4 linked regions of the Oryctolagus cuniculus genome follow. The protein of the gene in region 2 purifies or fractionates together with the protein of the main gene of each other region. This does not show direct contact. Links are inferred from orthologs where the notes say so. Each region holds a gene or a part of one and is shown on either strand. Other genes may lie near its edges.

Region 1 (3,560 bases), on a different chromosome or scaffold from region 2:
TCCTTGGGCCCCTGCACCCATGTGGGAGACCCAGAAGAAGCTCCTGGCTTCAGACTCGCCCAGCCCCAGCCATTGCAGTCATTTGGGGAGTGAACCAGCGGATGAAGATGGATTCTCTCTCTCTCTCTCTGTACCTCTGCTTTTCAAATACATAAATCTTTAAAAAAATCCCATCATCCCTGTTTGGGACATTCCTACCAACCAGGAGGATCTGTGGGGTTTACATTCTAAAGCCATGGGACAACAGCTTTGCATTTCAAGGCAGCAGACCGTGGACACTTGAGGGTGACACACACGTAAGTTCTGGTGAAAGCAAGACCTTCCATGATGTGACTTCAGGACTTAAGATGCTGCTGCACCTCCCGAGAGCTGAGGGCCCTTGGTGCCACCGCTCCTCCGCAGAGACCTGCACGGAGCACGGACGGGGCTCTGCAGAGGCCCAGTGGGGGGTGCTGTTATTACCTGCACAGTGCTGGCCGGTGCTCTGCAGTTTCTGCAGTGTCCTAAGCTGCAAGGGGCAAAGACTAGATTTTTACTAAGTCGCCAGGGGCTATTTTTGGATGCCCACATTCATGGGGGCTCTCGTTATTTCCAGGCCTGGGCTGTTAGAGCAACCTCAAAAAGTATTTCCTTTAGTTCACACAAGCAGGAAGGAGGCGGAGACTCCGCCCCAGGTCTGTGTGTGCAGTCTCCCCCATGGCTTTCAACCCATGGGGCCTCTGGAGTCCCCTGCCTCACTCCCCTGAGCGGGACTCTAAGCAGGGAGAGTGGCTGTGCCTGTGGCGCAGGTGCACTTAGGAATGGCGCTAGGACGCTGCCCCTGTGACCTTGTCTTGCTGAGGCGCTCTCTGGGCCAGGCAGGGTCTGCGGCTGTGCTCTGCGCACAGCAGGAGCCTGTGGCTGAGCTGTTTCTTTGGCAAACAGAATATGGTTTCAGGCTGAATCCACTTCCGGGATGGCAGCCCGTTTGAGTTTCAAATAGAGAAAAAGAGCCTTTAGCTGAGTTGGTTAGCTCTGGCCAGCGCTCTGTGGGAGGCACCTGCCAGCGGGCACAGGCAGCACAAGTCCGACTGCGAGGGATGGGGCTCTGTGGCTTTTCAGTCCACTTGGAGAGCCACAAGTGGAGCCCCACGCTACAAGCCAGAATGGCGTGTAGCCAGGCAGTGGGGCTGCATGGGCAGGGCAGGGCAGGGCAGGAACACAGGGCGGGTGACCCTGCTAGACTCTGCAGAGGAAGCCCTGCTGTGCCCCTGCCTAGCGAGGGGCTCTTGTTGTCACCCCTGAAGCTGTCTGCTTCCGTTCCTTCAGCTGACAGAGGGGACCCACTAGCATCCCCTCGCAAGGGGTCAGCAGGGTACCTGCTGCCCAGCACCGTGCCAATTCTGAGCAGGCACAATAAAGGCCAAGAATGACCATGGGGAAACTTGGACCCTGCACTCACATGGCTGCTGTGACAGAAAAAATACAGCCCACCACGAGAGAAGAAATCTAATCTTGCATACTTTGGAAGCGCCTTAAGCAGAGAACTGTGCTTCAATTCGGAGCACTCTGCATTAAAACCACCAACTTCAGCACTTTAATCTTCAGAACACTTTCCAAACACAAAAGAATTTGTCAGTTCCTAGGGAGGCCTGTGGCTGTACACGTCCTCTGTGTGTCAGAAGAGGCGCGGACTTGCCAGGAGCCCTACCAAGTCCCTGGGAGGGCCGGGCTTTAGCCGCTGGCATTTGCATGAGAACACGGCCCCCCACAGGCAGCGCGCTCCACTAAAGGGCTCTGAACAGCGCCCGCAGAGAGGAGGAGCCCGCAGGAGAAAGGAGTGGTCTCGGCTCCCGGCCACGCTGAGGACCCCGAGGGAGAATCGGGAGCGTGTACTTACGCCGTGCTTCACAGTTTTTGCAGCGTGGGCAGCTTTCTTTTTTGCATCATAATGAGTGAGAATGTCAATAATTGCCATGAAGTACACCTCCTTCCTAGGCGAGTCTGCAAAGGGATGAGAGCAAGTGAATGACGTCACCGGGAGGGAGACACAAGCACTGTGCAGGGAAGGAGAGGAGCCTGGGGCTGAAGCAGCCTGGGGACAAACTCCAAGGGACTCCTGCGTGCTCCTCCCAGCCCTGGGGACTCTACCCAATGTGCTTTCAAAATAACAAGTGAAAAAACCTACCATAACCCCAGGATATGAACACTGGAGCTCCAAGGGTGCAACTGAATGCTTTTATTTTTACTTTTTGATAATCTGCATTTTCTTGAATGACTGTGTAAAGAGGAATGCTATCTTAAAAATACTTAGGAAACAAGTGTAACTAACTGTGTTCATTAATCCTTTCTTTACCATAAGCTGCAGTGTTGGTAAGCAGTTCTCACTGGATGCAGTATCAGAACTGGATAAAGGCACAGAGCACCCCAATATCTACTTAGTCCCAAAAATATGATGTTGCTTCAATTCTGAATAGAAAGGACAGCACATTTGACTACATCTAGTTTTCTGTGTTAAAGAAACAATTTTGGTGAGCAAAATAAGAATAGAACAAAACATAACTCAAACCCATTTGGGTGAGATGCCATCTGTGTTTTTTTTTTTTTAAGAAAAAAAAATCAATGAACCACACTATTATTCAGAAAATGAGAGGCTGCATTTATCAAATCACTAAAATATTTTTTTATGGGTAAGTAGCTAAGGTAGAATGGGATATTCCTTCAAATGCCCGGTCATTTTTATATTGTGTTGAGGACTAAGAACAATGGTTCTGACCCTAGAGAAGCTCAGAGCCCCCTTTAGGGCTCTCGCCCCGTCCACAGGCTGGCCTTGGCACAGAGAAGGAGGGGTGTTTGGTGATGATATGCCTCCCTGAGGGTCACAGTAGACCACACACCCGTGCCTACCTCAGGACAGATGTGTGGTGCTTTAGCCTTAGATAAGAAAGAAGACAGCTAAGGAAAAAATACTTAAACCAGTTCTTATATATGTTCTCTATAGAGGTGCATCTATAGGTATATGTGGGATACACAAGATGACTCGTGGTTTTGCTCCAGTCCCTCAACAGCCCCCTACCCAAGGACCTGCTCCCATTACATCTAAAACCCGAGCTTATAGTTACCTTGAACCCGCTCTGACCCTGTGCGTTTACCTGGACTCCGGAGAATGAGTCTTGCAGGACAACACACCTGTACTAGGGTTCATTACTGGTAGACGACAATGCAAAAACCAAACTGCTTCAGATGTAAACAAGAGGCAATGGTAACTAAGCTTACTTTCATGGCATTTAATTCCATAAACATCAATGTTCGGATCAAACTCCCCCGGAGCCAAGGGCGGTGAGCTGTTCAACGTGTTTCCGGGGCTATCCGGAGGGGTCCCGACTGGGTGGGTGCCGTCGCTCTCCCCCTCCTCCTCCCCGTCATTCTCCTCACACTCCACCTCTTCTTGCTCGGCTCTCTCCACATCGTGAATTCCCACCAGTAAGCTGTAGTCCATGAGCTTCAACTGGGCAAGAAACTGGAGGGGGAGGCGACATGATCAGTTACACCTTACACAAAAAAGGAGATTTGCAAGCTCA
Region 2 (4,267 bases):
GGCCACCCGCTCCAGGCGCAGGGCCGCAAGGCGGACCCCCGAGGCCTGAGCTGTCCAGCGCCCCGGCGGCAGGCAGCTGGCCACGCCGCCCAGACACAGGGGGCGAGAGGCAGCGGCCGGGGGTGGGGAGGGGGCTGCCCGGCCCTGCACTCAGCTCAGCTCTGCCATGAGCCCTGGCAGAGCCCAGCCCGCGGCGCGCGGCCTCCGGTCAGCCAGAGGACACTCAGGAGCCCCGGGATGGGACGAGGCCGGGGTGCACGGAGGGTGGGCGCCAGCTGCGCCCCACGTGGCCCTCTCCCCTCGCTAACTCCCCAGCCTCTCACCTCCCAGATCCGAGGGTCTGCCAATTGGCCCGGAAGGTTCCGGCCTCCCCAGGCCACGTCACCAACGTGCGTCCCGGCGGCCAGCAGGGACGAGGCACCGAAACCCGCCCGGCTGAGCGGGACACCTGCCGCTGCCCCGCCAGGGCCCTCGGCGCACCGGTGCCGCCCCTCACCGCCAAGGACACGGCGGCCGGGAACCCAGGAGCCCACGGCCACCAGGGCTGTCCCGGGGACAGCACAGAGCAGGGCGAGGCTGGGGGCACGAAGAGCCTGGCTTCCCCGCCCGCGTCCGCCAGGAGGGACAGGACGCGACGGCCCTCAGAGGCCCAGCTGTAACTCCCAGCGCCTCCCGGCTGACGGGGACTCCCTTCCCGGGAGCCCTGTGCCCACCCCGACGGCCCCCTGGGAGGAGCTCTGGGCACAGGCGCGGCCCGAGCCCTCCACGCCGGGCCGCGGCCCAGTTCATCAAGCTGCCCACGCACAAAGGGCCTTTTTCGCGAGGCCAGCTGGCAGGGAGGCCGGCGGGGAGCCCGGCGGGCTTGTGGGGGCAGCCCTCGCCTCCCAGGGCCTGGGCACGCGCCGGCCCCGGTCCCAGCCCGTCAGGGAGCGCTCCGGAAGCCGGCCCGGGGCGGCGGGAGCCCCCGGGGAGCTGCTGCTGGACGCGGGACCCTGGCCCCCCCCCCTCGGCGCCCACCCCAGCCTGGCTCCCGCGGACCGGACACCTGTGCCCCACGCAGGCGCCGGGCTTCCCTCCAGCTTCCTGCCAACGCCGCCACGGGGGACGCGGACGCGGGCAGGGAGGGGCACGGAGCTCCCTCTGCCTCCCCAGCCCCAGGCTGGGCGCCCGCCGGTCTCGCCCACAGCACCGTCTCTCCCCCGTACACCCAGCCCGCCCCCGGCCCGGCCCGGGCCTCGGGCATTTCCCACTGGAACCCGGGTCAGCGCCCTCGCCCAGGGGCAGAGGTGGGTGCCGGGCCCTCAGCCTGCGCCCACCCGGGGAGTGGCCACCCCAGCAGGGGCTGAGCCCGCGGGCAGGGGGGAGCGCTTCCCGGGGCCCTCGCGGGGCCAGCAGACCATTAAACCAGCCTGCTCCGGGCGGGGGGGGGGCCCAGGGCTCGGGGCGGGCACCTGCTGCCCCGCGGACCTCAGCCGGGCCGCTGCCCACGGCGCCCCCGCGGACGCTGTCCAAGGTCACGGCCACCGGGCCCCTCAGATAAGGGCCTTTCCTGGAAGCCGGTGCAGGCCGGGGCGCGATAAGGGGCCCCGCCCGCCCGCCCGCCGCGGGGGGGCACTCACTTCCGCACGTTGGCCTCGCCGTTGGGGATCCGCCGCAGCTTCTTCTTCTTGAGGATCTTGACGGCGCGGCGGCACAGCGTCTCCGAGTCCAACACCTCCTTCACCTTCCCGTAGGAGCCCTCGCCCAGCAGGTCCCCCATCAGGTACTTGCCGATGAGCTTGGCGCGCTTGCGCCGCGGCTGGTAGATGACCTCGGTGGAGTCGATGCGGTGGATGAAGGTGTCCATGCCCACGGCCATCAGCTCGTCCTCGGGGAACAGGCCCAGCGGCGGCGGCTCGGCCACATCCATGCTGCGCCCGGGCGCCCCGCTAGTCCCGGCGCCCCGCCTCCCCGACTTCAAACACACCAACAGGAAAGAGACAAAAAGGAAGAAAGCCACGCAGGCCTCGGCCACGAACAGCCTCCTCCCGACACACGCGAGCGTCCCGCCCGGCAGTCCGCGCTGCGAGCCCCCTCCCCGGGAGGAGGGGGTCTCAGGGCCTGGGGGCGGCCCGGGCCGGCTCAGCTCGTCCGCGGGGGCCCTGGGCAGGCCGGCGGGGCCCGCGGCGCCCGCTCATCCTCCGGGGGGCTCAGGCGCGCGGACCAGCGCTCCGGCGGCCGCGACCCGGCTCCCCCGGGCCGTCCATGCCCGCGGGCAGCCGCCGACGGGGGTCCGCGCCGCTCGCCGCCCCGGGAGCCCCCCACACCCGGGGCCACAAAACTTTGCTGGGAGCCCCTCGGGCGCCGCCCCGCGGTCCCGCCGCCTCAGCCGAGCGCTCGGAGGCCGCGCCCGCGGTTGGGGCTGGGGGCTTCCCCGGACGCGGTCAGGCGCACGCTCGGCGCCGGCCGCTCGCCGCCCCCAACCCCCCAGCCGGCCCGCGACCTCCGGCCGGACGCCCCGAGCGCTCCAACGGCGGCCCGGGCTCGCTCCCGCTCCCGAGCGCCGTCAGCGGCCGGCCCCGACGCGCGGCCGACGCTCCGCGGGCTCCGGGCGGCCCAGGCCGCAGGCTCCGGGCCGGGGAGTGCCCGAGGCTGCCGAAGTCCGGCCGGTGCGTCCCCCTCGCCGCGGCCGCCGCGCGCGTGCAGGAGGCGGAGCGGCGAGGGGGGCCCAGCCCATCCAAGGCCGCCCGCGCTGCCGCCGGCGCCGCCCTCCGCCGCCCCGCGACTCACTCGCGGGCGCCCCGGGCCGCCTCCCCCTTCCGCGCCCGATACGCCGCCGCCATCTTGTTTACCTCCCTCCCCCTCCCTGCGCCGCCGCCGCCGCCGCACGCCCGACCGCAGGGCACGCCCCCTCGCGGCGCCGACGTGCCCGCCCGTTGGTGGAGCCGGAAGGCCCCGCCTCGCGACACGCTTGGCCGCCGCCGCCGATTGGGCCGTTTGGACCCGGCCGGGCGGTCGCGCGGGGATTGGTCCGCACTCGGCCCCGCCTCGAGGGGTGGGGACGCCTCGTTCATTGGCCTGCGGGCGCGCCCGTCACGGCGACGGGGCGGGAAGCGGGCGTGGGGACGCGAGGCCGCGGCGGTGACCTCGGAGGGGTTGGGGCCCGGGGTCGGGGGTCGCGGGTCCCAACGGCCGCCCCGGAACGGCCGCGGGCTCCCCCGGTCGTGGGCCGGCACCGCGGCTCGGGGCTCCAGAGGTCGGGGGAAGCCTGCCGGGGCCGCTTCCTGCTTCCCTCGTTGGGCCGAGGTCAGAGGTCACAAAGTGACCTAAAGTGACCAGTTCGGGGCGGAAATCCCTGAGGCGCCGCCGGGGCCGGGCCGGGGCCGCGGGCGGGGCGGAAGCAGAGGGGAGACGCCCGGGACGCGCGGGCCCAGGCCGCAGGTGTCCCTGTCGGCCCCGGGCGCCCGCGGGGCCTCGGCCCCACTCAGGACGGAACCGCGCGTGCGCCTCAGGCCGTTTTCGCCCCTAATTCCACTTTAAAGAAAGGTTTATCGAGGCCGGCGCCGTGGCGTGGGGGTGCAATCACGGCCTGCAGCGCCCCCAGCCTTCACGGGCGCCGGTTCGAGTCCCGGCCGCCCCACTTCCGGTCATCGGTGCCGGACAGGTGCTTGGGCCCCGCACCACGCGAGAGACCCGGGCAGGGGGGGCTCGTGGGCCTCCAGCCTCGCCCAGACATTGGGGGATCGAACCAGCAGATGGAAGACCCCTTCTCTCTATGCCTTTCAAATAAATCTCTAAAATAAAAAAGAAACGCGTATTTAGTTGAAAGTGAGGATGGGGGTGCCGTCCATTGCTGGCTCAAGGACTCGGGTCATCGTCCGCTGCTTTCCCAGGCCACAGCAGGGAGCTGGACCGGAAGTAGAGCAGCTGGGACTCGAACCGGCGTCCACATGGGATGTTGGCACTGCAGGCCGGGGCTTTATCCGCTGCGCCACAGGGGAACCGGCCCCTGAATTAAGCTTCTTTTAAAAAAAAAAGGCAGCGAGGGGTCGCTGGGGTCACCGGGGAGGGCCCAGCGCTGCAGTGGCCGCCCACCGGGGACCCAAGCCACATCTCAGTCGAGGCCGGGAAGGGGCAGTCGGCCCAGCAGCACACGCCCCCACCCCACGTGGGAGACCCGGGGCAGCTCCAGGCTCCCGGCCCCGGCCGTGGTGGGCGTCTGGGGGGTGACCCAGCCGGTGGACGAAGTCCCTCTGTGTACCTGCCTTTCACTCCCCCTGCCCACCAG
Region 3 (3,560 bases), on a different chromosome or scaffold from region 2:
TTATAGATATCTATAGATGATGTTACTATATCTAGTATTGATTAAAGTTGATATTGATTGTTTTAAAATTTTTTTTAAAATTTTTTTTCTTTATTTTTCAAATGCAGAGACAGACAGACAGAGATCTTCCAATGCTGGTGGACTTCCCAGATGCCCATAACAGCCTGGGTTAAACCAGATAGGCCAGGAGCCTAGAACTCAATCCAGATTTCCCATGTGGGTGGTAGAGACACAAGTACTTGAGCCATGATCTGCCTCCCAGAATGTGCATTAGCAGGAAGTTGAATCAGAAATGGAGTAGTGGCCTGCGCTGCACCTAATCCTCTGCCTGCGGTGCCGGCACCCCAGGTTGTAGTCCCGGTTGGGGCGCCGGATTCTGTCCCGGTCACTCCTCTTCCAGTCTAGCTCTCTGCTGTGGCCAGGGAAGGCAGTGGAGGATGGCCCAGGTCCTTGGGCCCTGCACCCGCATGGGAGATCAGGAGGAAGCACCTGGCTCCTAGCTTCGGATCGGCACAGTGCACCGGCTGCAACGTGCCGGCTGTAGCGGCCACTTCGGGGGTGAACCAACAGAAAAAGGAAGACCTTTCTCTCTGTCTCTCTCTCTCTCTCACTGTCTAACTCTGCCTGTCAAAAAAAGAAAGAAAGAAAGGAGGGAGGGAGGGAGTAAGGGAGTAGCTGGGATTCAAACCAAGCATCCATATGGGATGGAGGTTTCCCAAGCAGCAACTTAACTGCTGTGTGCCTCCTTATGTGTTGCTTTTATTAGGAAAATACAAATGACACTAAGTGTGCTCGCAGCATTTGCTTCATTTAAATTTCATGAAAATTATATCACTGTTTTCTTCTTTTACTCTTTTTTGGAACTGGATGGGGGGTCAGCATATAAAAAAAGATGTAGGTGTTTCTGTGCCTTAATATTATAGAAAATTAAGAGAAAGGAATGGTATAAAAGTCTCAGTTATTAAATAAAACCTTTTCCCTGACATTTCTTTTGCTTAGAGAAGTTATGATATCTTTACTGTTTCAGTATAGTCAGAAAAAAATCAAGTAATTCAGTGTAAGGAAACTTGATTTGTGACATGTTACAGTATAAGATGATTAGGGTATGGAATTCCTGGAATAACACATTGAAGGTTACACTAATACAGATATGTTTTCATTATTAATTTTAGGTAAGGGTTGATTGCTTAATGAAAATTTATAAATTACTCATGTTTTCTTATCTCTTTCTTTTTAAACAGTGGTAAATGAGAATGTCAGTCTTGTGATCTCACGACAGTTGCTGACTGATTTTTGCACACATCTGCCTAACCTGCCTGATAGCACAGCCAAAGAAATCTATCACTTTACCTTGGAAAAGATCCAGCCTAGAGTCATTTCATTTGAGGAGCAGGTAAGAATCTAGAACAACAGTTTTTGAATTTGAGATAGCGGCAGTTGCTTTGAGAATCTGATGCTATTAAATTCCTAATGGAGATAATTGTGCAATTTGATATTTGATGAAATAGAATCTCAACCAGCGTTTTTTGCTTTTAAAGATTTATTTTATTTGTTTGAAAGGCAGAGTTACAGAGAGAGAAAGGGAGAGACAGGGAGAGATCTTCCATCTGCTGGTTCACTCCTCAAATGGCTGCAATGGCCAGGGCTGGGCCTGGCTGAGGCCAGGAGCCAGGAGCTTCATCTGGATCTCTCACATGGGTGCAGAGTCCCAAGCACTTAGGCTATCTTCTACTGCTTTCCTAAGTACATTAGTAGGGAGTTGGATTGGAAGTAGAGCAACCGGGACATGAACCAGAACCCATATTGGATGCTGGCATCACAAGCAGTGGCTTCACTCACTGTGCTAACAGTGCTAGTCCTGTCTACCACCATTTTACAGTGTAAAATCTAATAAATATTAGAATGTTTGCAATTCCACCTGACATTTGCCCATATATTAAAATTTGATCTTACCAGTCAAATATTACTCTTTAAACAGTTTTAAAAAGTCAGTATAAAAAATTGTTATTAGACTACACACGGGAAACTTCAACATCCTATATGCAGAGACATAAAAGCAAATTTTAACATTTAAACTAAAATATTACCATAACTCACATTGCAGAAATGCATTGTTTCATTTCACTGCTTTGATATTATGTGAATGCGAAATTCATAGAAAAATTTGGGTGGTCTAGATAAACTTTGATTTGCCACCCTGTATGTTGAATAAGAGCATTGTCAAAATGGATTAGTTTATCATCTATTTATTTTAATTGACTAATGAGTTATGGTTGAAGTAATTTAACATGTATACCTTCTATTTCAGGTTGCTTCCATAAGGCAGCATCTTGCATCTATATATGAGAAAGAAGAAGATTGGAGAAATGCAGCCCAAGTGTTGGTGGGAATTCCTTTGGAAACAGGACAAAAGTATAGTAAATAGTGGATATTGAATGAATATATATACATATACATACACACATATAGGATATATAATTATTTACCTACATTTTTTTCTTACATTCTAATACAGGAAAGAGATAAACAAGTTATAAGTAAATTTTGTAGTATGTTAAAAGATAAATGCTTACTTACAGAGAAAAGTAAGGGGAAAAGAGGGGACAGATTGTATATATCATTAAATTGGGTAGTAGGGTGGTCCTGATGTCACTTTCCCAAAGATTTGAAGGAGAGAGGGTAGTGGATTAGAGCTATTTGAGGGAAGCACATCACTGGCTACTCAGAGAGATGGTTAATGCAAAGGCCCTAAGATGGGAACATGTATTTTCAAGAAGAATAAGGAAGGGGCTGGCACTGTGATGTAGTGGCTTAAGCCACCGCTTGTGGTGCCACATCCCATCTGGGTTTGGTTCAAGTCCTGGCTGTTCCACTTCTATTCCAGCTCTCTGCTAATGTGCCTGGGAAAGCAGTAGAAGATGGTCCAAGTGCTTGAGCCTCTGTACCCACGTGGGAAATCCAGAAGAGGCTTCTGTCTCCTGGCTTTGGCCTGGCCCAGCTCCAGCCAATGTGTCCATTAGGGGAGTAAGCCAGTGGATGGAAGATTCTGTCTCTCCCTTTTTCTCTGTAACTCTGACTTGCAAATAAAATAAATCTTTTTTAAAGATGTATTTATTTATTTGAAAGGCAGAGTTAGAGAGAGAGAGATTGATCTTCCATCTGCTGGTTCACTTCCCAAATGGCCACAGTGGCTGGAGCTGAGCCTATCTGAAGCCAGGAGCCAGGAGCTTCTTCCAGTATCCCATGTGGGTGCAGAGACCCAAGTATTTCTGCCATCTTCTTCTTTTATTTTTAAAGATTTATTTTATTTATTTGAAAGAATTACAGAGAGAGGTAGAAACAGAGAGAGAGGTCTTCCACCCGCTGGTTCACTCCCCAGATGGCTGCAATGGCCAGGGCTGCGCCAATCCGAAGCCAGGAGCTAAGAGCTTCTTCTGGATCTCCCACGTGGGTGCAGGGGCCCAAGGACTCGGGCCGTGTTCTACTGCTTTCCCAGGCCATAGCAGAGAGCTGGACCAGAAGAGGAGCAGCCGGGACTAGAACCAGCGTCCATATGAGAT
Region 4 (4,136 bases), on a different chromosome or scaffold from region 2:
CATAGCCAGCACATAGCATGGTGCTGAATACTTGCTGTTTTTTAAGCATGGTAGATGCCTGCTGAATCAGTGTTAATATGCAGAGTAGTTTTGATCGACACTATCTGAATTAATGCATGAATAAATGGTTTCAGTGACTCTCCCTGGCAAAAAAGAGACGCTTCTAGACACTGAGGACCAATGACTGAGATAAGGATCCTTGAGGAGGTCTCAGGGTTGACTCTATTTGCCTTTTCTACAGATATCACTTTTTATTTCTATTTATTGGAGAGGGAGGGAGGCAGGGAGAGAAAGAGAGAGCAAGCCAGTACATTCCTGGACCAGGAACTGAAAGTAGGTCTTCCAGGTGAGTGTCGAGGACCCAACCCCTTAAGCCATCATTGCTGCTGCCTCCCAAGGTCTGTATTAGCAGGAAGCTGGAATTGGGAGGGAAGCCCTTGCCAGGTATGGATCCTACCACTCCTGGGGGACCTGGTGCCTTAACCTCTCCGCCAAATGCCACCAACTTTCTACCCACCTCCAAATCTTGAAGCACCAGGCAGCATGGTGACTGGTTTATGGGAAGGGCCTTTTACAAAGACTTCAGTGTGACAGTGTGCAAAGCCAGGAGACACGGGTTCTAATCTGATTAGGGGACATCAGATTACCATAGGCAACTATCATGTCCCATAGGTCCCCAGTTTGAGACTTCAGGTTTCTGTTTCTTCAAAAATGATGGGGCTGAGCTAAAGATTCCCTAAGGCCCCCCGCCGCCCCTGCACCCCCCCCCCCGGGGGGGGACAGCGTGGGGGCCGCAGGGTTCTCACGGTCCCTGGGTATCCAAGGGAGGTGCCGCGTGCTCACCTGGTTCTTGAGGCGGGATGTTCTCGGGTCCGACCTAGCATCTCTAGCTTCCCGAGTTAGTGTCCTGGAGCTAACCTGGACTGCTAATCTAACGCAAACAGCCCGACCTGACCCCTCTCCCGCCACAGACCAGGCCCGCAGGACAGACAGACACGGTACGGCAGTGGGGTCAACGATCTTGCTTGGGCGTTAGTTTCTGTGGAGGGAAGGGCTGATGTGAGGGGGTGTCGGTCAGCTTCCTCCATCCATTTTCTCCAGCCCCCACAAAGGGCAAGGGCCAGACACGTGGGCTAGTGTGGGGGGGCGGAGATGCAAATAAACGTGGGCGGGGCCTTATTTGCATGGACCGCGCGCGGCCACCAATCCGGACACGCGGAGCGACAGCCCGCGCGCCTTTTGGGGGCGGACTGACAGCCCCGGGGCCCTATGGAAGGGGGGTCCTGCGGCCGGCGGGGGCGGGACCATGCCGGGCGCTGCCCTGGGGATTCGGGCCGGCTCGCGGGCGCTGCCAGTCTCGGACTGCGGTGTCCGGCGCGCGGGCTGCCTGCTGGGCGGGCTGAGGGGCGAGCGGCGCGCGGGCGAGGCGGAGAGAGCAGGAGCTGGCCAGGCACTGTGGAGACAGGTACCGGCGCCATGGCCGCAGGGATGAGGTGGGGCGGCCGCGGGGTCCCGAGAGCCCAATTCTCTCTTTTCAGGTTCTGCCGCTGCCCCTCACGCGGCTCCCCAGCCCGGGAGGGAGTGGCGCGAGGGGCTGCAAGTCCACGAGGTGAGCGCCCGGGGGGCTCCCAGCCCGACTGCGGGGGCCGCCGGGCCGAGGCTCCCTCCGGGGGGCCGCGGGAGCCGCTCTCCGCCCGCGCCGCGCTCCCCCTCCCGGTCGCGCCCGCTCGCCCTCACTCGGCTTTTGTTTCCCGCCCGGGGTGACAGGTCCCGGCTCCGGCTGTCGTCGGCGGACCCGGACTCGCCCGAGGCCCGGCGCTGCGGGACCCTCGGAGAAGCCGGGCGGCGCCCGAGCAGCCGCAGCCGCGGGCCGGAGCGCAACTTGGCCTTCCGGGACCGGGGCGGCCGGAGGCCTGGAGCCCGGGGCTGAGACGAGCGCCAGGACGCCGCGGGCGCGATGGAGACTCGCTCACCTGGCGGGCCCGCGGAGGGCGAGGATAACGGAGCGCCCCGGCCGCGCGCGGGGTGGCCGCCCGCTGGGTGTGGACGCGGGCGTGCCCCGCCGTCACCTGCCGCCCTGGCGCTCGTGCCTGGGAGCCGCACGGCCCCTCGGCGGGGTGCGGGCGCCGCGCCGCGCTCACAGGTGACCCGCACTCTGCGGTGCGGGCCGAGAGTTGCGGCCGGGGTGGGTCCTGGGACGCTTGCGGCTCCGTCCGCCCGCCTTGCCGGCCGTCCCGGGAGGCGTGCGCCCCGGACGGCTTGCAGAAGCCGCGTGCAGGACCCGGGCGCTGCAGGCTGCCTGCTCCGGGCGCAGCCGCCCTGTGCGGGGCGGCTTCGGCGGCGGCGGCGACGGCTCGGGCAGGTACAGCCTGGAAGGGGAGCGCGCAGAGCCCCGCTGCCCTCCGCGGGCCGCCGTGCAGTCCGTGGTTTTGGATTCGCTTTCTGGGCTGTGCTTTCCAGGGGAGTGAGGCGTAGCTCTGAATGGGAGCTTTCTTCGCTCTCTGACCTGGACTGTTTGCTTTCATTGTCTCCCCGCCTTGTTCGATGGGGGACCCGGGAAGAGTTAGGGCGGATTCGGGGTAGGGGTTTGCAGCCCCCCTGCCCCCGCGTTGGGGGTCTTTGCTTTAGAGAGTCAGAGGAGCTGCCTCTCTCGGGATGGGAGTCAAACTCCAAGGGTCGACCTGAAAAAAGGCCTTACCCTGGTGGGAGCTTTTTGTCCTGTCGTACTTTCCCTTAGCGTTTCCGTTTGTGTGTCTGCCTCCCGACCCCTGCCTAACCCGCCACACTTAGCCCTGACCAACCTGGGCATGCTATACAATTGTATTTCTAAAATTAGGTCACTTGTGAGACACACGGGATCTGGTGTGCTCGGTTTTTATGTTTTAAAGCGTCTTGTTTGATGCACATAGTGGATATGTTTGACTGCCTAGGAGCAGCGTTATTAACTTTGATTTAATTTGCTTATTTACCTTGCTAATTAGAATTATGTAACAGTTAATAAGAGGTCAGAACTCTTCAGCCAAAGTTGTGACTACTTCAGTGTAAAAAAAAAATAAAGATGATCTTTATAAATTGTTTTATTTCTCTGAAGCAATAAACTTAGATAACGGGGGTCTTTAAAAGTTCACAGAAATGCATATTATGAAGAAACTGTGTCTGGATTTCAGAATGTTTTGTACTGAAATAAATTCATCTTTTAATTCCACTTTTCCGTGAACTTTTTGAACTTCCCACGTATGTTGTAAGGGCTTTGTCTTTCCAGCATTTTGTAAAACAGGTATGTTTTTTGGAATCTTTAACTTTTTTTATTTATGGGAAATTTGAGTGCATTTCTTTTTTTTAAAACAATTGTTATCAGTTCAACATGAAAAACTTAATGAATTAGGCAACTAATTAAGTCTTTAATTTTCTGTTTACTCTTGAATTGGAAAAAGAATCCATGTTTCAGGCTTTTTAGTTTCCTGCAGGCTTCTCTACTTAGAATGGATTAGTCCGGAGAAGAACATCCTCTTTGTACACCCGCAGAAGTTATTGCTGTACAAGCTGAGCTGGCTTTCGGATGCTTAGGAAGGGTAGAAAGAACAGTGGCTTGTCCTCACATAGAATGGGTTTTGCCTTTACAAAGTTATAAAGGACTTTATGACACTTGGGCTTTCATTGTCTCTCGTTATTTATTTAATTGCTCTTTAGTGTAAAGGAATACATTTAAGTGCTGTGCTGTTAGAGCGTTGATTGTCCTTATCCTGTGATGGTGCTTTAATATGCCAAATATCGTCAAGTTATGTCTCGTAAGTTTGTTTCCACAAAAGTATATTTTAGGTACTTTAATTATGAACGTACCTTAAAATTAAAACCTATTTTAAAATTCAGTTTTTGCATATTTTAACTACTGAATTTTGTTCACTTTAATTTATCAAGCACATTTTATCTTCAAAATTAAGCACAAGCTGAATTCTCACAATAAACACTGGCAGGTTTTTTTTTTTTTTTTAAGCAGTTACCCTCAGGTACGGCTCCTTTTGATTGGGGGCTGGTGGTGCGAGTGGTAAATATTTTTAAGTGAATAACTTCACAAAAAAACAAGGACTTTAGCTAAATCCAAAAGACAGATTGAAAAACACTGTTACAAACATCAA

What was found.
Region 1: the proteins of STK11 (region 2) and PIP4K2A purify together in Homo sapiens (affinity purification with mass spectrometry; 3 studies listed by BioGRID and IntAct, counting the BioPlex papers as one, with this or other methods). This does not show direct contact. The link is inferred for Oryctolagus cuniculus from reciprocal best matches to the Homo sapiens genes STK11 and PIP4K2A.
Region 3: the proteins of STK11 (region 2) and COPS4 purify together in Homo sapiens (affinity purification with mass spectrometry; 4 studies listed by BioGRID and IntAct, with this or other methods). This does not show direct contact. The link is inferred for Oryctolagus cuniculus from reciprocal best matches to the Homo sapiens genes STK11 and COPS4.
Region 4: the proteins of STK11 (region 2) and FKBP5 purify together in Homo sapiens (affinity purification with mass spectrometry; 8 studies listed by BioGRID and IntAct, counting the BioPlex papers as one, with this or other methods). This does not show direct contact. The link is inferred for Oryctolagus cuniculus from reciprocal best matches to the Homo sapiens genes STK11 and FKBP5.

The regions. Positions count from the first base shown.
Region 1 is NC_091444.1:48,771,983-48,775,542, forward strand, and holds part of PIP4K2A (phosphatidylinositol 5-phosphate 4-kinase type-2 alpha), read right to left. Parts: intron 3,500-3,560; coding exon 3,256-3,499; intron 1,984-3,255; coding exon 1,880-1,983; intron 1-1,879. UniProt on the Homo sapiens protein: Catalyzes the phosphorylation of phosphatidylinositol 5-phosphate (PtdIns5P) on the fourth hydroxyl of the myo-inositol ring, to form phosphatidylinositol 4,5-bisphosphate (PtdIns(4,5)P2). Has both ATP- and GTP-dependent kinase activities.
Region 2 is NC_091447.1:58,641,499-58,645,765, reverse strand, and holds the start of STK11 (serine/threonine-protein kinase STK11), read right to left. Parts: upstream 2,828-4,267; 5' UTR 1,910-2,827; coding exon 1,620-1,909; intron 1-1,619. UniProt on the Homo sapiens protein: Tumor suppressor serine/threonine-protein kinase that controls the activity of AMP-activated protein kinase (AMPK) family members, thereby playing a role in various processes such as cell metabolism, cell polarity, apoptosis and DNA damage response.
Region 3 is NC_091439.1:82,801,238-82,804,797, reverse strand, and holds part of COPS4 (COP9 signalosome complex subunit 4), read left to right. Parts: intron 1-1,241; coding exon 1,242-1,393; intron 1,394-2,308; coding exon 2,309-2,412; intron 2,413-3,560. UniProt on the Homo sapiens protein: Component of the COP9 signalosome complex (CSN), a complex involved in various cellular and developmental processes.
Region 4 is NC_091436.1:133,767,934-133,772,069, forward strand, and holds the start of FKBP5 (peptidyl-prolyl cis-trans isomerase FKBP5), read left to right. Parts: upstream 1-1,300; 5' UTR 1,301-1,465; intron 1,466-4,136. UniProt on the Homo sapiens protein: Immunophilin protein with PPIase and co-chaperone activities. Component of unligated steroid receptors heterocomplexes through interaction with heat-shock protein 90 (HSP90).